Linked DNA regions of Oryctolagus cuniculus. The protein of the gene in region 3 purifies or fractionates together with the protein of the main gene of each other region. This does not show direct contact. Links are inferred from orthologs where the notes say so. Each region holds a gene or a part of one and is shown on either strand. Other genes may lie near its edges.

Region 1 (5,883 bases), about 200 Mb from region 3:
ACTGTAATAATTAAGCAACATAGGAGTATACCACATTCTCAGCTGCTCTATTTTTTTTTTTTTGAAGATTTATTTATTTGAAAGGCAGAATTACACGCACACACACCTTCCATCTGCTGCCAAATGGCTGCAATGGCCAGGACCAAGCCAGGCAGAAGCCAGGAGCCTGGAGCTCCATCCATCCAGGTCTCCCATGTGGGTGCCAGCTGCCCTACTATTAACACTTTCCTTCCCCAGTTACAATCTCCATGACATTGCACTCTTGCTTGTGGGAATTCTGGCAGTGTCTGCATTTTGTAGACATGTGCGACTCTGACTCCTCTGCCCAGCCGCATAGCAGCCCATCCTGAGGACTCCCAACAGATTTGTCTGACTGGCAGAGATGTGCCTTAAAAGAGAATCAGTCTGAGGCTCGCACTGTGGCGTAGTAGGTAAAGCCACCGCCTGTGACACTGGCATCCCATACAGGTGCTGGTTCAAGTTCCAACTGTTCTACTTCCGATCCAGCTCCTGCTAAGGGGATGGTCCAAGATGCAGCCATGTGGGAGACCTGGAAGAAGCTTCTGGCTCTTGGCTTTGTCCTGGCTCAGTCCTGTTTGTTGCAGCCATTTGGGGAGTGAACCAGTCGATGGAAGCTCATTCTCTCTGTGTCTCTTTCTCGCTCAATAACTCTACCTTTCAAATAAGTAAATAAATCTTAAAAAAAAAATTAAGACAGAGGAGGGGACTAGTGTTTAAGACTCTGCCTAGGATGCGTGTATCCCACATAGGAGTGCCTGGGTTTGAGTCCTGGCTCTGCTTCTGAATCCAGCTTCCTGCTATTGCTCATCCTGGGATGCAGTAGGTAATGGTTCAAGTACTTGGGTCCTTACCACATGAGAGACCTGGATTGTTTTTCCAGCTCCTAGCTAGATATTGCAAAGCATTTGGGCAAAGCATTCCAATATGGGAGATTCTCTCTGTCTCTGTTTCTCTGTTCCTTCCTAATAAAAGCAAACACAGCATTAAGACAATTGGAGAACTTAAAAGGGGTGTGCGGATTATATAGCAGGGACATAACAATGTTCATTTCCTGATTTTGATAGTTGTACTGTAGTTATTTAGAGAGCGACCTTGTCCTTGTCCTTGTCCTTTTCCTGTAGGAAATACTATAGTCTTCAGGGGTAGAGGGATACCAGGCAGGCAACTTGCTCTAAATGGCTCAGGGCCAAAGAAAGTATTTTGCACGGTACTTGCAATGTTTCTGTAAGTTTGAGATTGGGCAATGAGAAAAATGTAATGAGTGCTCAGGAAAGGGGGTGCAGGTGTAAAGATTATTTGGAGGACTCTGGGTGTCATGGTCAGGATGAGGCTGTCTTTAAAGAAGGCAGTTAGGAGACTTTAAAGGTTTGAATCCACAGGGACAAAGGGACACATTCATCAGCTAGAAAAGACTATACCTTCTAGGGGCCGGCGCTGTGGAGCAGCAGGTTAATGCCCTGGCCTGAAGCACCAGCATCATATGGGCACTGGTTCTAGTCCCGGCTGCTCCTCTTCCGATCCAGCTCTCTGCTGTGGCCTGGGAAAGCAGTAGAAGATGGCCCAAGTCCTTGGGCCCCTGCACCCGCATGGGAGACCCGGAAGAAGCTCCTGGCTTCTGATTGATGCAGCTCCCTCCGTTGCAGCCATCTGGGGAGTGAACCATTGGATGGAAGACCTCTCTCTGCCTCTCCTCTCTCTGTGTAACTCTGACTTTCAAATAAATAAGAAATCTTAAAAACAAAAACAAAAACAAACTACACCTTCTAGACCACTCCAGAATCCTCTGCCCCAATGCCCTGAGCCTGGTGGGCCTTTCCCCCCAGCCCATCCTCCCAAGGCTGAGAGGCCACAGGTGAACATCTGGCTTTGAGGTGAGACCCAGGCAGCGAGATGCTTGCCGGGCTCTGGACAATGCTTGGTCTCAAGGGCTGCACGGCCACGTGTCTTGTATGGGACACCTCACCTCAGAGTTGGGGTGGCCCTCTGTCAGCTGCCACATTTAGCCGAGGCTCAAAAAATTCCTGTCAGATGATTCTAAATTTAAACTTGGCCTTCGAGCCCTGGGGAAGACACATTTGTCATGGTAGAAGAGACAGCCCATGCTCCACCTGCACCGCCTTACGGGAAAGTTATGCGGCAGTGGCAAGATCTTCTGGCCCAGCCAGAAGGAGCGCTGGGCCAACCAGGCTCTGCATCCTCAGGGTAGCTGTCAAGAAGGGGGCGTGGTGACGGATGAGAAGGGGCGGAGCTAACGGCGGGCGGGGCTCACGCGGCTCCTCCAGGGGGCGTGCCACGCACGGCTGCGTACTCGGCCGGTGCCCTGAGGCCACGCCCCTTCCGGTTCGCCGCTCAGCCCGGCAGCCGCGTGAGGACCGTCGCTGCAGAGTCGGCAGTTGTGGAAACTCCTGGGTTTGACGGCCTGACGGACGGGATGGCCGCAGATGTGTTGCCGAGTGCGACGTGGCTGTACTGTGGGGAGCCCGACGAGAGCCAGAAAGCTGTACTGGGTGAGGACTGCGGCGCTGGAGCGGGGCTCCCCTTCCGTCTCGGTACCTCTCCAGGTCTCCCTTCCCGCCCAATGCGTCAGGGCCCCCTGGCGTCTCCACCGCTGCCTGGGACTCGGCAAGGGGCATCCCGCAACCTTTCTGTCGGTACTTCCCAGCTGCATGAGGACATCTCCATCGCCCCCTCCCCAGGGCGGTGCCCGGGACGCTGCCCTCCCCTCCCCCGCCAGGTCTCCCACCTGCCCCCTTTCCCTCTCTCCGCTGGGCGCGGATTCTCCCTCCCCAGGTCTGGACCAGGCCCCTGGGTCAGCCTCATCCCCGCCGCCGTTTCCTCTTGTCTCAGCTGCCTCCGCCCCCCGCCCCGCTCGCCCCGCCAGCCTGTCCCCTCTTCTTGGACGGATGGACGCTACCCGCGTTTCTTTGCCAGCCCCATCCAGCCGTAGCTCCCTCCCACCATGCACCGTGGTCATTGTCGGGCGGTCCTCTTACAGTCCAATTCTCCAACGGGAAGCTGCAGAACCCGGGCAACATGCGCTTCACCTTGTACCAGAGCAGCGACTCCGCAAACCCCAGGAAGAGGAGTCAGCGGATCCTGGTAAGCGCTGCGGCTGCCAGTGCCCCGCTCTGCCTGCCTTAGGAGGCCCCTGGGGTGTGGGTGGATGGGAGAGGAGAAAATGGCTAGGGGCCTTTGGAAAAGCTCCGGCTCCAGCAGCTTGCGGCGTGGGGACAGGCTCCACGCAGCTCTGGGACTTCCGGTGGCGTGGTGGGCGTGCATTCACGTGTCCTGTCAGCATGTGTTATTGAACAGGCACTGCATCCCTGTGCGGTGAGTTAGGGAAACAGCCCCCTCCGACCTGGCGCCACTGGTGCTGTGGAGCAGGGCTTCGGTGCCTCTGTACACCGATAGGCCATGCCTGGCTGTGGCTGGCAGTCCTGTGCCTCAGGATGGTGCCCTAGAGAGGTGTGGAGTGGCTGCCGGGACACGCATCCATTAGACAGAGCTCTGGGCCCGGTGGGGAGGGTGCAGGGCGGAGTGAGCTCAGTGGCTTGCCAGAAGCCCCTTCTGGGGGTGGGTGCTTCAGTGCTGAGCCCTGAAAGGGGAGGGAAGGTTTGGCAGCCAAGATTTGGGGTTCCATGTGAAGCAGATAACAAGGACAAAAACGGAAGCAGGAAGGCTTGGCGGTTACAGGGAGCGAGTCAGCTGTGGCTGTGGTCCTGAGGGTTTAGAAAGAGCAGGCATGGGGGAGGTGGGCGCAGAGGATCAAGGCGGGCTTAGACTCTGGGCGAGGAGGTAGCCTGCAGAATCGCTTGGTTGCACACTGGCAAGTGCAACCTTCTCATCCGTCACCACGCCCCCTTCTTGACAGCTACCCTGAGGATGCAGAGCCTGGTTGGCCCAGAGCCCCTACTGGCTGGGCCAGAAGGTCCTGCCACTGCCGCATAACTTTCCCGTAAGGCTTCCTCCCGCTCAGCGCGGTGCAGGTGGAGCATGGGCTGTCTCTTCTGCCATGACAAATGTGTCTTCCCCAGGGCTCGAAGGCCAAGTTTAAATTTAGAGCCTCTTGCTTACGTCCTGTCCTGTGGTGCAGGCCCCCAGGAACGTCTCATACCCGTTAGAAGCTGATGCTGTCCGTGGCTTCCGCTTCTAAAGCCCTCTTGCCTTTCCCCAGGACTTCCCCAGATTACCTTGGAGCTGGGGGCGGGGGGGCTGGATCATCTCAGCCACTGTGGTTCTGGGTTAAAAGCTTTGGCAGATGTGAGAATGAGGCAAGATGCTCACTGCCTCTCAGCCTTGGTCATGAATGGGGTTTCTCCTGTGTTTTAGGCAGCTGAAACAGAGAGACTTTCCTACGTGGGAAACAATTTTGGGACTGGAGCCCTCAAGTGTAACACTCTGTGCAGGTAATGGTGTGGGGAGGATGATGGGAAGGGTGTGGTGCGGCACTGACACTGCTGTTTTTAGTCTATTTTAGGGGCAGTGGGAGAAATTGAGGTTTGCCAGGTGCCTGTGTGCTTGTACCTGGGGCTCTCTTGGAACGAATGCATGATTTATATTTGCTGAGTTTTCCTAAAATATGCATTTGTCGCATTGTTTATTTATAACTTTTTTTAAAAGATTTATTCATTTACTTATTTGAAAGTCAAAATTACAGGGGATGGGGAGAGAGGCCTGCGCTTGTGGCATAGGGGGTAAAGCTGCCGCCTGCAGTGCTGGCATCCCATATGGGCGCCGATTCGAGTCCTGGCTGCTCTACTTCTGATCCAGCTCTCTGCTGTGGCTGGGAAAGCAGTAGAAGTTGGCCCAAGTCCTTGGGCCCTGCATCCGCATGGGAGACCTGAAAGAAGCTCCTGACTCCTGGCTTTCGATCAGCGCAGCTCCGGCTATTGTGGCCAATTGGGGAGTGAACCATCAGATGGAAGACCTCTCTCTCTGCCTCTCCTCTCTCTGTGTAACTCTTTCAGATAAATAAATAAAATCTTTTAAAAGAGAGAGAGAGAGAGAGAGAGAGATATCTTCCATTTGCTAGTTCACTCCCTGAATGACCTCAACAGCCAGGGCTGGGCCAGGTCAAAGCCAGGAGCCTGGCGCTTCTTTGGGGTGTCCCAGGTGAGTGCAGGGGCCCAAGCACTTGAGCCATCCTCCACTGCTTTCCCAGGCCATTAGCAGGGAGCTTGATCAGAAGTGGAGCAGCCAGGGCTCGAACTGGCATGATGTGGATGGCGCTGCTGCGGATGGCGGCTTTACCCACTGTGCCACAGCACTGCTCCCATTTGTAACCATCTCACACCCCAGGGCAGTTCTCTTCTCTAATTTGGAATGTCTGATCAAGAATGGGTGGAACCTTACCTGATGCTGGCCTGGGCACTAAATACAGAAGAAGGATTTGGTAGAGACAGAGGCTGTCGGCTGGGAAAGAGGAACCTGGGGTCTCCATCGAGTCCTTGCTGATGGCAGGATTTTGGGCAGCTGTGCCCTTCACTGACCCCCAGCCTTCTGCTCTGTCCTGCCTGAGCGTCTGTAGCTCTCAGGGACGGCACAGTGCAGGCAGGGTCCCTGTGGTGGTCCCCAGCAGTGACCGCATGGAAGGGGTTCCCGATAGAAAGCAGACTGGTGTAAATGTGCTCTAAACGGCCCACACTGCCTCATCGCCTTAGCAAGACGCTCTGGGCCAGGATGATCTCTCCAGGACTCCACTTGTATTTGCCACCACGAAATTTGTGTGTGTGTACAGTGCATTCTATTGTCTTTCTAGATGTGTACACCCCAGAGGGTTCCTTGTTACAGCAGAGACTCACGGCTGCTGGGCCAGCAGGAAGGTTAAGAAGTTTTAAATAGGAAGAAGGAAGTTGTAGAAAC
Region 2 (5,895 bases), on a different chromosome or scaffold from region 3:
GTCTGGAGGCTCACTTCTGCCTCAGCTTTTTGATGAAGGAAACCTCGTCCCGATTGCGGATCCCGTAACTGAAAGGACAAAAGGCGCAGTGTCTGACTGCAGGTGGGTGTGTAAGTCCCCACCGCAGGGGTGTGGGAGACCCCGAGTGAGCCACAGGTGAGGCGTGCGCGCCCGCCCGCAGGCCCGAGAGGAGCAGCCGGCCGCGGTTCACTTGCACGCGTCGCCCCGAGCTGTGCAGCCCTGAGCCACGGCTGGAGAGAACCAGCAGTGCCCATGCTCTGCTCCGCTGCCTGCCATCTCCTGAGCCCCGCGGAGGCAGCAGACCACGTGACCCCTCCCTGGACTTACTCGCGGAGCTTCTTCCTGTCCTCTGTGAGCTTCTCTCCCGCAGAGGTCAGGTGGTACGTCCTCCACACGTAGGACCTGCACGGGGGGCCTCAGGTAAACTCCCGAGCAGGCCGAGCGCGGCAGCTCGGGGGGACAGTGCCGTGGGGCCTGCCAGAGGGGCAGAGGGGCAGCTGGGCCCCGCACACCTCGCGAAGGAGACAGACGGCAGTGCTGAGCTGCTGTGAGGACACGCGACTCAGCAGGACAGCGAGGCCAGCAGTGTCTGAGGAAGGGACAGGGCCACGGATGGTGCTCCAGCTGTCACCAGCGTAGGCCATGGACGGTGCTCCAGCCGACACTGGGGAGGCCACTTCTGGACACACTAGTGTCCTAAGTGTCCCCAAGTGAAGGTATCAGCAGCTCAGCTGGGTGACATGACGAGAGACGTGTAAGAGCAGCGGAGGGAGCTTTCCTGCAGGCCCCTGTGACGGGCCGTGACGGGGCTGCTGTCCCACTCACCAGCTGATGTGCTGAATGCCCCCTTCTCGCTCCTGCTTGAGCTGCACGTATCTCTGGATGGCCTTCTTCAGGTCCAGGACCGTGGCGTTCTGCACCACGACCACAGCTGCAGGGAGAAGACGTGGGGTGGGGATTCACAGCCCTGGCTTCCGCCTGCGGGTTTCCCGACGGCCAGGCCCGCTACCATCTGAAGCGGAGAGCGGCACTCACGCATGACTTCTCCGTCCATCTTGGACACTCGGACCGTCATCGCTTGGCCGTATTCTAGTGCAATCTGGGAGTTGATCTCTTCCAAAGTCACCTAGAAAGCGCCAAGCAGGGGCAGTGGGAACCCTGGCTTTGTTTATCAGCCCAAACGGAACCAAACTTTATGGAGGGCCGGGGGAGGGGCTCCCTTTAGCACCTCAGTCTCAGGTTCCACCCGACTTCTCTATTTCATGCCGAATGGCTGTGGAAGCAGGGAGAGTGAGCCCCCAGGGGCTGCTGGGGGGGGAGGAGGGAGACGCTGGGCCTTTCAGTTTGCCCAAGAGCCCCTGGTCACCAGGATCCAGGCCAGAGCCCTGGACTAAGTGGGAGGCATGTGTGCAAAATACACAAGGCAGGAACACACGGCAGTGATAAGACTGCAGTATAACACTTTTCTTAGAGGAAATTCGCCTCTGCATCTACTTATTTGACGGGGGCGGGGCGGGGAGGAAGGAGAGGGGAGAGAAACACGAGTCTTCCATCCGCAAACGGCCCCAGCACCCAGGGCTAGGCCACGCCGAAGCCAGGGGCCGGGAGCCTCACCGGGCCCCAGGCACTGGGCCGCCCTCCGCCGCTCCCCGAGGAGCGCTGGCAGGGAGCCGGAAGGGAGCGGAGCAGCCGGAGCTCCCATTCTTCAACTGTCCTTTACCGACAACCTTCTGCATCAAGTTTGGCACCGTTTCCCCTGCCCCTTCACGCCGGGCCCGGACCAGGCCGGCCGCAGTCCCCCATCAGCACCTCTCCGGCGGCAGGTGGCCGCTCTGGCCGCGCGCACCTGGATCGGCAGGTCGCAGAGCAGCGGGTCCTGCACCACCATGGCGAGACCCTCCTGGAACACGTCCACCGCTTCCGAGTGAGGCAGCGTCTCCTCTTCGTCCTCATCCTCCTCCGGCACCTCGGGCCCCTCGGCCTCCTCGGCCTGCTCCGCTGCCTCCACGGTCGCCAGCCCGGAGCCGCCGGCCGCCGGCCCAGCCACTCCACGCTCGGGAGGCGGAGCACGGACGCGGACTGGGCCCACCTCCGTGAGGACGTCCAACCACCGGCGGGCCAAGGGGCGGGGCGGGCGCCCCAACCAATGGGAGTGCGAGGCGGCTTGCCGCAGGGCCGGCTGGGAGCGAGGGTCGGCGTGTCTATTGGTGGGCTAGCGGCGGGGGCCGCCGGGACCAACGTGAGGTCGAGGTGGGCGGGGTGTCGGCGTCGCGCGGCCAGGGAGCTTCCGGCCGTGGGGGCGCGCGGGCCAGGGCGCCGCCATGCTGCTGTTCTGCCCCGGCTGCGGGAACGGGCTGATCGTGGAGGAGGGCCAGCGCTGCCACCGCTTCGCCTGCAACACCTGCCCCTACGTGCACAACATCACCCGCAAGGTGGGCCTCGACGTTAGGGTCGGCCTCCGGCGGCCCCGGCCTCGCGTCCCTGGCCTGTGGGCGCATCTGTCCAAGACGCGCGCACGCCGGCGCCTCTCGCCTGGCCCGGCCGCCGCCTCCCTTCTGGGGCTGGTTTCGGAGTCGCCTGGTCGGGGCAGGGCGGCGGCTCCAGCTCCGGCCGCGGCCGCCCTCGGTGCCGCTCCGCGTCCCGCGTGGCGCCCGGCGTTCCTCGGGCGGCCTCCGTTTACTCGCGCTCCCTGGAGTGCTCCCGCCCCCCTCGGTCCCTTCTGCTGCCTTGTGGTCCGAGCGCGGTCCAGGGCAGAAGGCCTCGGCAGGCCTCCTTCCCTGTGTTTGTCCGGCCGCCTGGCTCGCACCTGGAGCCCCGGGGTGTCCAGCCGGCGAGCCGCGCGCACTGGCCTGGCACCCACCTGGAGCCCCGGGGTGTCCAGCCGGCCAGCCGCCCGCACTGGCCTGGCACCCACCTGGAGCCCCGGGGTGTCCAGCCGGCCAGCCGCCCGCACTGGTCTGCCGTGCACCTGAAGCCCCGGGGTGTCCAGCTGGCGAGCCGCGCGCACTGGTCTGGTGTGCACCTGGAGCCCCGGGGTGCCCAGCCGGCGAGCCGCGCGCACTGGCCTGGCACGCACCTGGAGCCCCAGGGTGTCCAACTGGCGAGCCGCCCGCACTGGCCTGGCACCCACCTGGAGCCCCGGGGTGTCCAGCCGGCGAGCCGCCCGCACTGGCCTGGCACCCACCTGGAGCCCCGGGGTGTCCAGCCGGCCAGCCGCGCGCACTGGTCTGCCCTGCACCTGGAGCCCCGGGGTGCCCAGCCGGCGAGCCGCCCGCACTGGCCTGGCACCCACCTGGAGCCCCGGGGTGTCCAGCCGGCGAGCCGCCCGCACTGGTCTGCCGTGCACCTGGAGCCCCGGGGTGTCCAGTTGGCGAGCCGCGCGCACTGGTCTGCCCTGCACCTGGAGCCCCGGGGTGTCCAGCCGGCGAGCCGCCCGCACTGGCCTGGCACCCACCTGGAGCCCCCGGGTGTCCAGCCGGCCAGCCGCCCGCACTGGTCTGCCGTGCACCTGAAGCCCCGGGGTGTCCAGCTGGCGAGCCGCGCGCACTGGTCTGGTGTGCACCTGGAGCCCCGGGGTGCCCAGCCGGCGAGCCGCGCGCACTGGCCTGGCACGCACCTGGAGCCCCAGGGTGTCCAACTGGCGAGCCGCCCGCACTGGCCTGGCACCCACCTGGAGCCCCGGGGTGTCCAGCCGGCGAGCCGCCCGCACTGGCCTGGCACCCACCTGGAGCCCCGGGGTGTCCAGCCGGCCAGCCGCGCGCACTGGTCTGCCCTGCACCTGGAGCCCCGGGGTGCCCAGCCGGCGAGCCGCCCGCACTGGCCTGGCACCCACCTGGAGCCCCGGGGTGTCCAGCCGGCGAGCCGCCCGCACTGGTCTGCCGTGCACCTGGAGCCCCGGGGTGTCCAGTTGGCGAGCCGCGCGCACTGGTCTGCCCTGCACCTGGAGCCCCGGGGTGTCCAGCCGGCGAGCCGCCCGCACTGGCCTGGCACGCACCTGGAGCCCCGGGGTGTCCAGTCGGCCAGCCGCCCGCACTGGCCTGGCACGCACCTGGAGCCCCGGGGTGTCCAGCCGGCGAGCCGCCCGCACTGGTCTGCCGTGCACCTGGAGCCCCGGGGTGTCCAGCCGGCGAGCCGCCCGCACTGGTCTGCCGTGCACCTGGAGCCCCGGGGTGTCCAGCCGGCGAGCCGCCCGCACTGGTCTGCCGTGCACCTGGAGCCCCGGGGTGTCCAGCCGGCGAGTCGCGCGCACTGGCCTGGCACCCACCTGGAGCCCCCGGGGTGCCCAGCCGGCCAGCCGCCCGCACTGGCCTGGCACGCACCTGGAGCCCCGGGGTGCCCAGCCGGCCAGCCGCGCACTCTCGCGCACACATGGTTAGCGCCTGTCACTTCCCCTCCTCCTCACGGCTGTGCGTCTGCTGGGCTCCCTCCATTCTCTGCCCTGGTGGTCCTGTCCCCTTGCTTGGAGGCTGAGGACTTGTTTCTGTTAGGTCACAAACCGGAAGTATCCGAAGCTGAAAGAAGTGGACGACGTGCTTGGGGGAGCGGCCGCCTGGGAGAATGTTGACTCCACTGCAGGTGAGGGGAACCTTTTCTGACTCCGAGCTGGGAGTGGCCTGAGGTTGCTAACTGTGCCCTGTCTCATCTGATCACTTGGATGATGTAAGCACCTCAGAATGGAAGATATTGCCTTCGGCCGGTGCCGCGGCTCACTAGGCTAATCCTTCGCCTGCGGCGCCGGCACCCCGGGTTCTAGTCCCGGTCGGGGCACCGGATTCTGTCCTGGTTGCTCCTCTTCCAGGCCAGCTCTCTGCTGTGGCCCGGGAGGGCAGTGGAGGATGGCCCAAGTGCTTGGGCCCTGCACCCCATGGGAGACCAGGAGAAGCACCTGGCTCCTGCCTTCGGATCAGCGCGGTGCGCCGGCCGCAGCGCGGCGGCCATTGGAGGGTGAACCAACGGCAAAAGGAAGACCTTTCTCTCTGTCTCTTTCTCTCACTGTCCACTCTGCCTGTCAAAAAAAAAAAAGGAAGATATTATAATTATTGTTATTATAAAGCAACAAAAATAATATTTGTTATTTTATAATAAATATTATAATTATAATATTTGTTATTTTATAATTGTTACACCAAGTTTTGGTTTAAGTCTTGGAGTCATAGGCAGGGGTTATATTCTCAAGGCAACCTCTAGTTGGGGACCTTGGTTGAGTGTGTTTTTCAGATTTAGCTTTTATTTATTTGAAAGGCAGAGTTGGAAGGAGAGAGGGAGAGAGCTCTTCTGCTTTGGTTCACTCTGGAGATGGCCACAATAGCTGGAGCTGGGCCAGGCTGAGACCTAGAGCTGGAATCTCCATCTGGTCTCCCACGTGGGTGGCAGGAGCCCAAGTACTTGAGCCATCGTAGACTCCTTCCCGGGTGTACTAGCAGGGACTGGCTCAGAAGTACAGTAGCTGGGCTCAGACTGGCACTGTGATACAGGGTGCACCTGTCCCAAGCTGCACCACAGTGCCTGTTCCTGGTTGAATCTCTCTCTCTCTTTTTTTCCTTATGATCTATTTATTGATTTTTTTAAGGATTTATTTATTTGAAAGTCAGAGTTACACAGAGAGAGGAGAGGCAGAGAGAGAGAGGTCTTCCATCTGATGGTTCACTTCCCAGATGGCCTCAACGGCTGGAGCTGTGCCGATCCGAAGCCAGGAGCCAGGAGCTTCTTCCGGGTCTCCTGCGCAGGTGCAGGGACCCAAGGACTTGGGCCATCTTCCACTGCTTTCCCAGGCCATAGCAGAGAGCTGGATCGGAAGAAGAGTAGCCGGGACTCGAACCGGCACCCATGTGGGATGCCAGCGCTTCAGGCCAGGGCAGTAACCCACTGCACCAC
Region 3 (4,698 bases):
CCACGGAGGCCCCAGGCTGAGCCGGCTCAGGGGCGGCTTGGAGGAGGCGGCCAGCACCTCCAACACAAACAGACCGAGGTGTCCACTCCAGGCCCTCAGGGGTGGGCACCACAAACCCGGGGCCCAGGCGGCCTGGCGCCTGCACACAGAGGCTGCACACATGGCCTGGGCGGGACCCGGCCCGGCTGGAGGCTGAGACGGCTCTGCCACCGCCTGTCCCACGGGAGGCCAGCTCCTGGCTCAGCACCCTGGATCACACGGGAGTGGGGGAAGGGCGGGCCTGCCCCCCCACGCCTCCTGGCCCGGGCAGCTCACTCCCATCTGCAGACGCCACAGCGCAGGGCTGTGAGGGCTGCGAGGGGCTCTCAGCGGCAGCACGTGTGAGCTGTCCACACCCGTGTTCCTGGCCCCGTGCGGGCGGCATGCACACAGCACACGCCAGCAGGCAGGAGTAGGGGTGGAGGCCGGGGTCCCGGCACGAGCGTCCCCACCCTGCTCAGCCAAAGTCTTACAGACGGGGAAACTGAGGCTGCGTCCTGGGGACGAGGGGCAGGGTCTGCGAATCCCGCCCGCCCCCCCCCCCCCCCCCCCCCCGCGCACTGCCCCTGGCTGCCCAGCACCCACCGCGGCCCTGCCGCTGGCCTGTTTCCAGGGCAACGCCCGGGGGGCGGGGCTTGGCAGCTGAAACCTGTCACGAGTTTCCCGGTCCCCTGCCCTGACGTGACCCCCCCTCCTCTGGCCAGCACCACCAGGAAAGCCCCCCACCCTCCCCAGAGAGGCCCAGCTGCTGCCCCCCACGCCACCACGGGCCAGGCCAGGGCTGACCCCTCGAGGCTCCCCAGCAGGCGCAAGTGCAGAGGGGGCGGGGCGCGCTGGGGGACATCCGGGAGCCCCCCCACCTCAGGTCGGCACGCACGCGGAATCCCAGGAATGCCGCCTTGGCCAGGGCCCCCGCAGGGGAGGGCGGCTCACTCCCCCACTCCCACAGTAAACAGCGGCGCCCAGTGGGAGCAGGGGCGGGGCAGGCCCCTGACCCCTCCCCCAGGAAGGCCCCACTCACGCGCTGGGCGCCCACCGGGCTGGCCTCCCGGACCCGGGCTCCCTCTCCTCCACAGCCGCGGCCGCCGAGCCTGGGTCTGACCCCAGGCCACGGTGACTCACGGCCCCATCCTGCCCCTCTGGCCAGGGCAGGATGTGCGTCCACTCAGCCTGGGGGAGGGAGGCAGAGAAGGGAAGTGGCCAGGGCTCGTGGCTCCGCACGTGGCCGAGAGGGCACTAACCCTGGCAGGGCAGTGGCTCTGGGCAGCCCCACTCCGGACCTGAGACCCTTCGTCCCCGTCCCTGTCCAGCGTCTGCCCTGAGCGGGCACTCAGCAGATGCCGGGGTCCCGCGTGAGGACCCCGCCCCGGCCACACATCCAAGGCCAGCAAACCTGGCCAGAGCCCCGCGGGGGCCACGGGCAACACCCCCACAGCCCTGCGGCTCCCCAGCCCGCCTGGGGCAGCCGGGGCACCAGGCTCAGCCCGGTCCACCCGGGAGGCAGCAGCCCCGCCCGTGGAGCCCCTGAAGGGGACGCACAGCTGGGGCTGCCCCTACGCGGGGGCCCTGGCCTTCGAGGGTCAGCTCAAAGGGGCTGACCACACGCCCAGCGCCAGGCCCGGGAAAGAGCGAACAAGACGCCGACAGACTGCCGTCGGGGCTCCCAGCAACTCCCCGCGGGGACCCGAGCCTCGCGCAGGGCTCAAGGGACAGCGACCGGGTCCAGGCCGGGCCGGGCCGGGAGGCGGGAAGGTCCGTCCGAGGCCTCCCGCCCCGGGGCCAGACCCTCTCGCCGGGCCCCTCGCCCGGCCCCACTTGTTGCTGCGACCGGCCTGGGGCTCCGCACTGGAGGTGGCGCTCGCGCGCCGCGGCTGATGTCCGCGTCCGGGTCCAGCCGGCGCCCGCGTAGTACCTGGGCCGCCGCCTCCCGCCGCCGCACCGCGTCGTCCGCTCCCGCCGCGCAGCTGTCAGTCAAGCGGACACGAGAAACGCGAACCGGCGCCGCCGAGCCCTTTTGGCCGAGCCCAGTCGCCGTAGCGCGGCACGTACCAAACCGCCGGACGGGGGGCGCCGCCGGACGCGGCCTCCAATCGGCGCCGAGGAACCCCGCGCCAGTGGGCGCGCCCGGGGCGGGGCCTGCAGCGCCGCGGACGGGCCCGGCAGTGCGCGGGGCTGCCGCGGAGTGCGCGCCGCCATGATCATCCCGGTGCGCTGTTTCACGTGCGGCAAGATCGTCGGCAACAAGTGGGAGGCCTACCTGGGGCTGCTGCAGGCGGAGTACACCGAGGGGTGAGGCGCCGGGCGCGTGGGGCCCGGGGGCGGGGCGGGGCGGGGACCGGGCCCACCCGCGCCTCCTGTCCCGCGCCGCGGGCTGACGCGGGGCTGCGGCGGGGCGGAGGGGCAGGGGCTGCTTTGCCGAGGCCCCTCGGTCGCGCCTTCTCACTCCCAAGCCGCCTCCTCCGCCCCCCGGAGCCAGCGCTGCAGGAGTTTTCTGGAAGCGTCTCGTTGGTTTCCGGAAGTAGAAGGGTGGCTCCCTGAGAGTGGGGGTCCCGCGGGGCTGCGGTCGTGGTCGGGAGTCCCGGCCCCCGGGGGAGGGGGCGCCGGGGCTGCCCTGGCCACCGTGAGCCCAGCCTGGGAGAGGGCGGGCCGGGGCTGGGCCGGGAGGCTGGAGCCTCTGGGTGGGGAAGGGGTGGCCCTGGGTGGCTCCTCCCCGGTGCATCCTGGGGGGACCTGTCCACCTGGCCTGGAGCAGGGGCGAGCCCGGCTGTCTGGTCGCAGGGATGCTCCGGCCGCTGGGCCCGGGCTGGGCCGGGAGGCCGGAGCCCCCGGGTGGGAAGGGGCGCGCTGGGGGCGAGCCCGGCGCAGGCCGCCTCACTGCTGTCTGGTCGCAGGGACGCCCTGGACGCCCTGGGGCTGAAGCGCTACTGCTGCCGCCGAATGCTGCTGGCCCACGTGGACCTCATCGAGAAACTGCTCAACTACGCGCCCCTGGAGAAGTAGCGCCGCCCCGCCATGGCCCGCGGCGTCCTGCCCTGCGTCCTCGCGGCCGGGCTGTCAGACGCCGGGAGCAGAGGCGGGCCGCGCGCACGCATGTCGCCAGCCGCCCAGTAAAGTCCTTGCACAAACACCACTGGTCCCCTCCTTGGCCTCGCTCCGCCCCCCCCCCCCCAGTCCACCTGGCCCAGCTGTCTCGGGGTCCTGGTTCCTGCTCCCTGGTCCCCGCCCACCCAGCGTGGCTGCTCGTCCGAGCCTGCACTGCCTGCTGCGGTCAGCGGCTGCCCTTGCCTGGGTCCCCACCCTGTGGCCCTGTCGGGGTCGCACCAGCCCTGAGCGCCCTCAGGCTCCCGGGGGCCCTTCCCGGGCTGTCCCTGCGGGCCCAGGCTGAGGGCCAGGGAGCAGCTACTCCCAGCAACCCACACGGGGCCGAGCCCGCGGTCAGCTGGGGACGGGGACCAGGGCAGAGCAGGGCCATGGTGGCCGAGCCACTGCTGTCCCCAGGGTGTTGGCCGCATCGCAGAGCTGTCCCCGGCTCCTGGCAGGACCTGCAGGCCCCTCGTCTGCTCACTGCCTGTGCCACAGTGACCACAGTGGGCCCAGGGCCAGCTGGAGACGCCAGCACCCCTACGCTCAGGCGGAGCCCCTCACACCGGCCCCCAGCGGTGCCCCCGCCCAGCCTGCGAGCCGGGTCCACCCCTGCTAGCCTGCGCGTGCCTGAGGCAGGAGCTTCACTGTCCACTCCACGCACTTTATTAAGCCCGTCACGTGACAGACTGGGGTGCAGCAGGCCCCCGGCCCCACACAGGGACCTCCTGGGGGAGGGGGCAGAGGAGGGGGCTTGGGCTGGGCAGGCGCACTCCAGACCCAACACAGGCGTCCAAGGGTCCCCCAAGACTGTGGGAGGGGGCGCTGCTGGAGCCGCCCCCCCCCCCCCCCCGCAGAAAGCTGTACAGTGAAAGGCACTTGGCCGCCTCTGGGTGTGAGAGGCTGGCACGGGTGGGGGCAGAGGCGTGGCTTCCTCAGGGTCAGTAGTCTCCACTCCGCAGTGGGGTGCCGGAGCCCAGGCCCCCCAAGCAGAAAGCTGAGCAGCGAAAGGCACTGGGGTGTGGTGGGGGTCCGGGGCGTGGCTTCCTGTGGGTCAGTAGTGGGTGGCAGGGAGCCCAAGCCCCCAGACAGCCGAGCAGTGACGGGGCGTGGCCGGCGCGGTGGGGGTCCGGGTATGGGTGTGACGGGGGCGTGGCTTCCTCCGGCGTCAGTAGTGTCCACTCAGCAGCGAGGCGGGGAGGCCAGGCCCCCTCAGTAGTGCTCCAGCTTCAGGCTCCGGTACAGGCAGCAAGTGAAGAACATGCCGAAGACCTGCGGAGCCGGGCTGTGAGCGGGCGCCAGGGCCGCGGCCGCGTCCCCCACCACGGCCCGGCAGGCCCGCACCTGCACACACGCGATGCCCACGCCCACCGCGCCGATGACCCGCAGGTGCTCCTGGATGAAGGTCTCCAGCTTGGTGATGCAGCCGCCCTGGGGGTGGGGACAGGTGCTAGGGGCGGGGCCGGGGCCGGAGCCCCGCCCACCTCCACCTGGCAGACGGGGCGTGGTCCCGCTCGGCAATCCGGGCCCGCCTACCTCCACCTTGTAGATGTTGGAGGCGTGGTCCCGCTGCCCGCA

What was found. Proteins that work in one complex are often made in the same cells at the same time.
Region 1: the proteins of POLR2L (region 3) and POLR1E purify together in Homo sapiens (affinity purification with mass spectrometry; 3 studies listed by BioGRID and IntAct, with this or other methods). This does not show direct contact. The link is inferred for Oryctolagus cuniculus from reciprocal best matches to the Homo sapiens genes POLR2L and POLR1E.
Region 2: the proteins of POLR2L (region 3) and POLR3K purify together in Homo sapiens (affinity purification with mass spectrometry; 3 studies listed by BioGRID and IntAct, with this or other methods). This does not show direct contact. The link is inferred for Oryctolagus cuniculus from reciprocal best matches to the Homo sapiens genes POLR2L and POLR3K.

The regions. Positions count from the first base shown.
Region 1 is NC_091432.1:200,289,195-200,295,077, forward strand, and holds the start of POLR1E (DNA-directed RNA polymerase I subunit RPA49), read left to right. Parts: upstream 1-2,330; 5' UTR 2,331-2,452; coding exon 2,453-2,528; intron 2,529-3,016; coding exon 3,017-3,120; intron 3,121-4,350; coding exon 4,351-4,427; intron 4,428-5,883. UniProt on the Homo sapiens protein: Component of RNA polymerase I (Pol I), a DNA-dependent RNA polymerase which synthesizes ribosomal RNA precursors using the four ribonucleoside triphosphates as substrates.
Region 2 is NC_091450.1:34,569,232-34,575,126, forward strand, and holds the start of POLR3K (DNA-directed RNA polymerase III subunit RPC10), read left to right. Parts: upstream 1-2,342; coding exon 2,343-2,453; intron 2,454-4,508; coding exon 4,509-4,596; intron 4,597-5,895. Other genes in the region: SNRNP25 (U11/U12 small nuclear ribonucleoprotein 25 kDa protein), read right to left, coding at 11-68, 349-423, 847-952, 1,057-1,147, 1,868-1,909. UniProt on the Homo sapiens protein: Core component of RNA polymerase III (Pol III) which synthesizes small non-coding RNAs using the four ribonucleoside triphosphates as substrates. Can mediate Pol I proofreading of the nascent RNA transcript.
Region 3 is NC_091432.1:352,545-357,242, reverse strand, and holds POLR2L (DNA-directed RNA polymerases I, II, and III subunit RPABC5), read left to right. Parts: upstream 1-2,163; 5' UTR 2,164-2,233; coding exon 2,234-2,328; intron 2,329-2,930; coding exon 2,931-3,039; 3' UTR 3,040-3,166; downstream 3,167-4,698. Other genes in the region: CD151 antigen, read right to left, coding at 4,333-4,392, 4,465-4,551, 4,657-4,698. UniProt on the Homo sapiens protein: DNA-dependent RNA polymerase catalyzes the transcription of DNA into RNA using the four ribonucleoside triphosphates as substrates.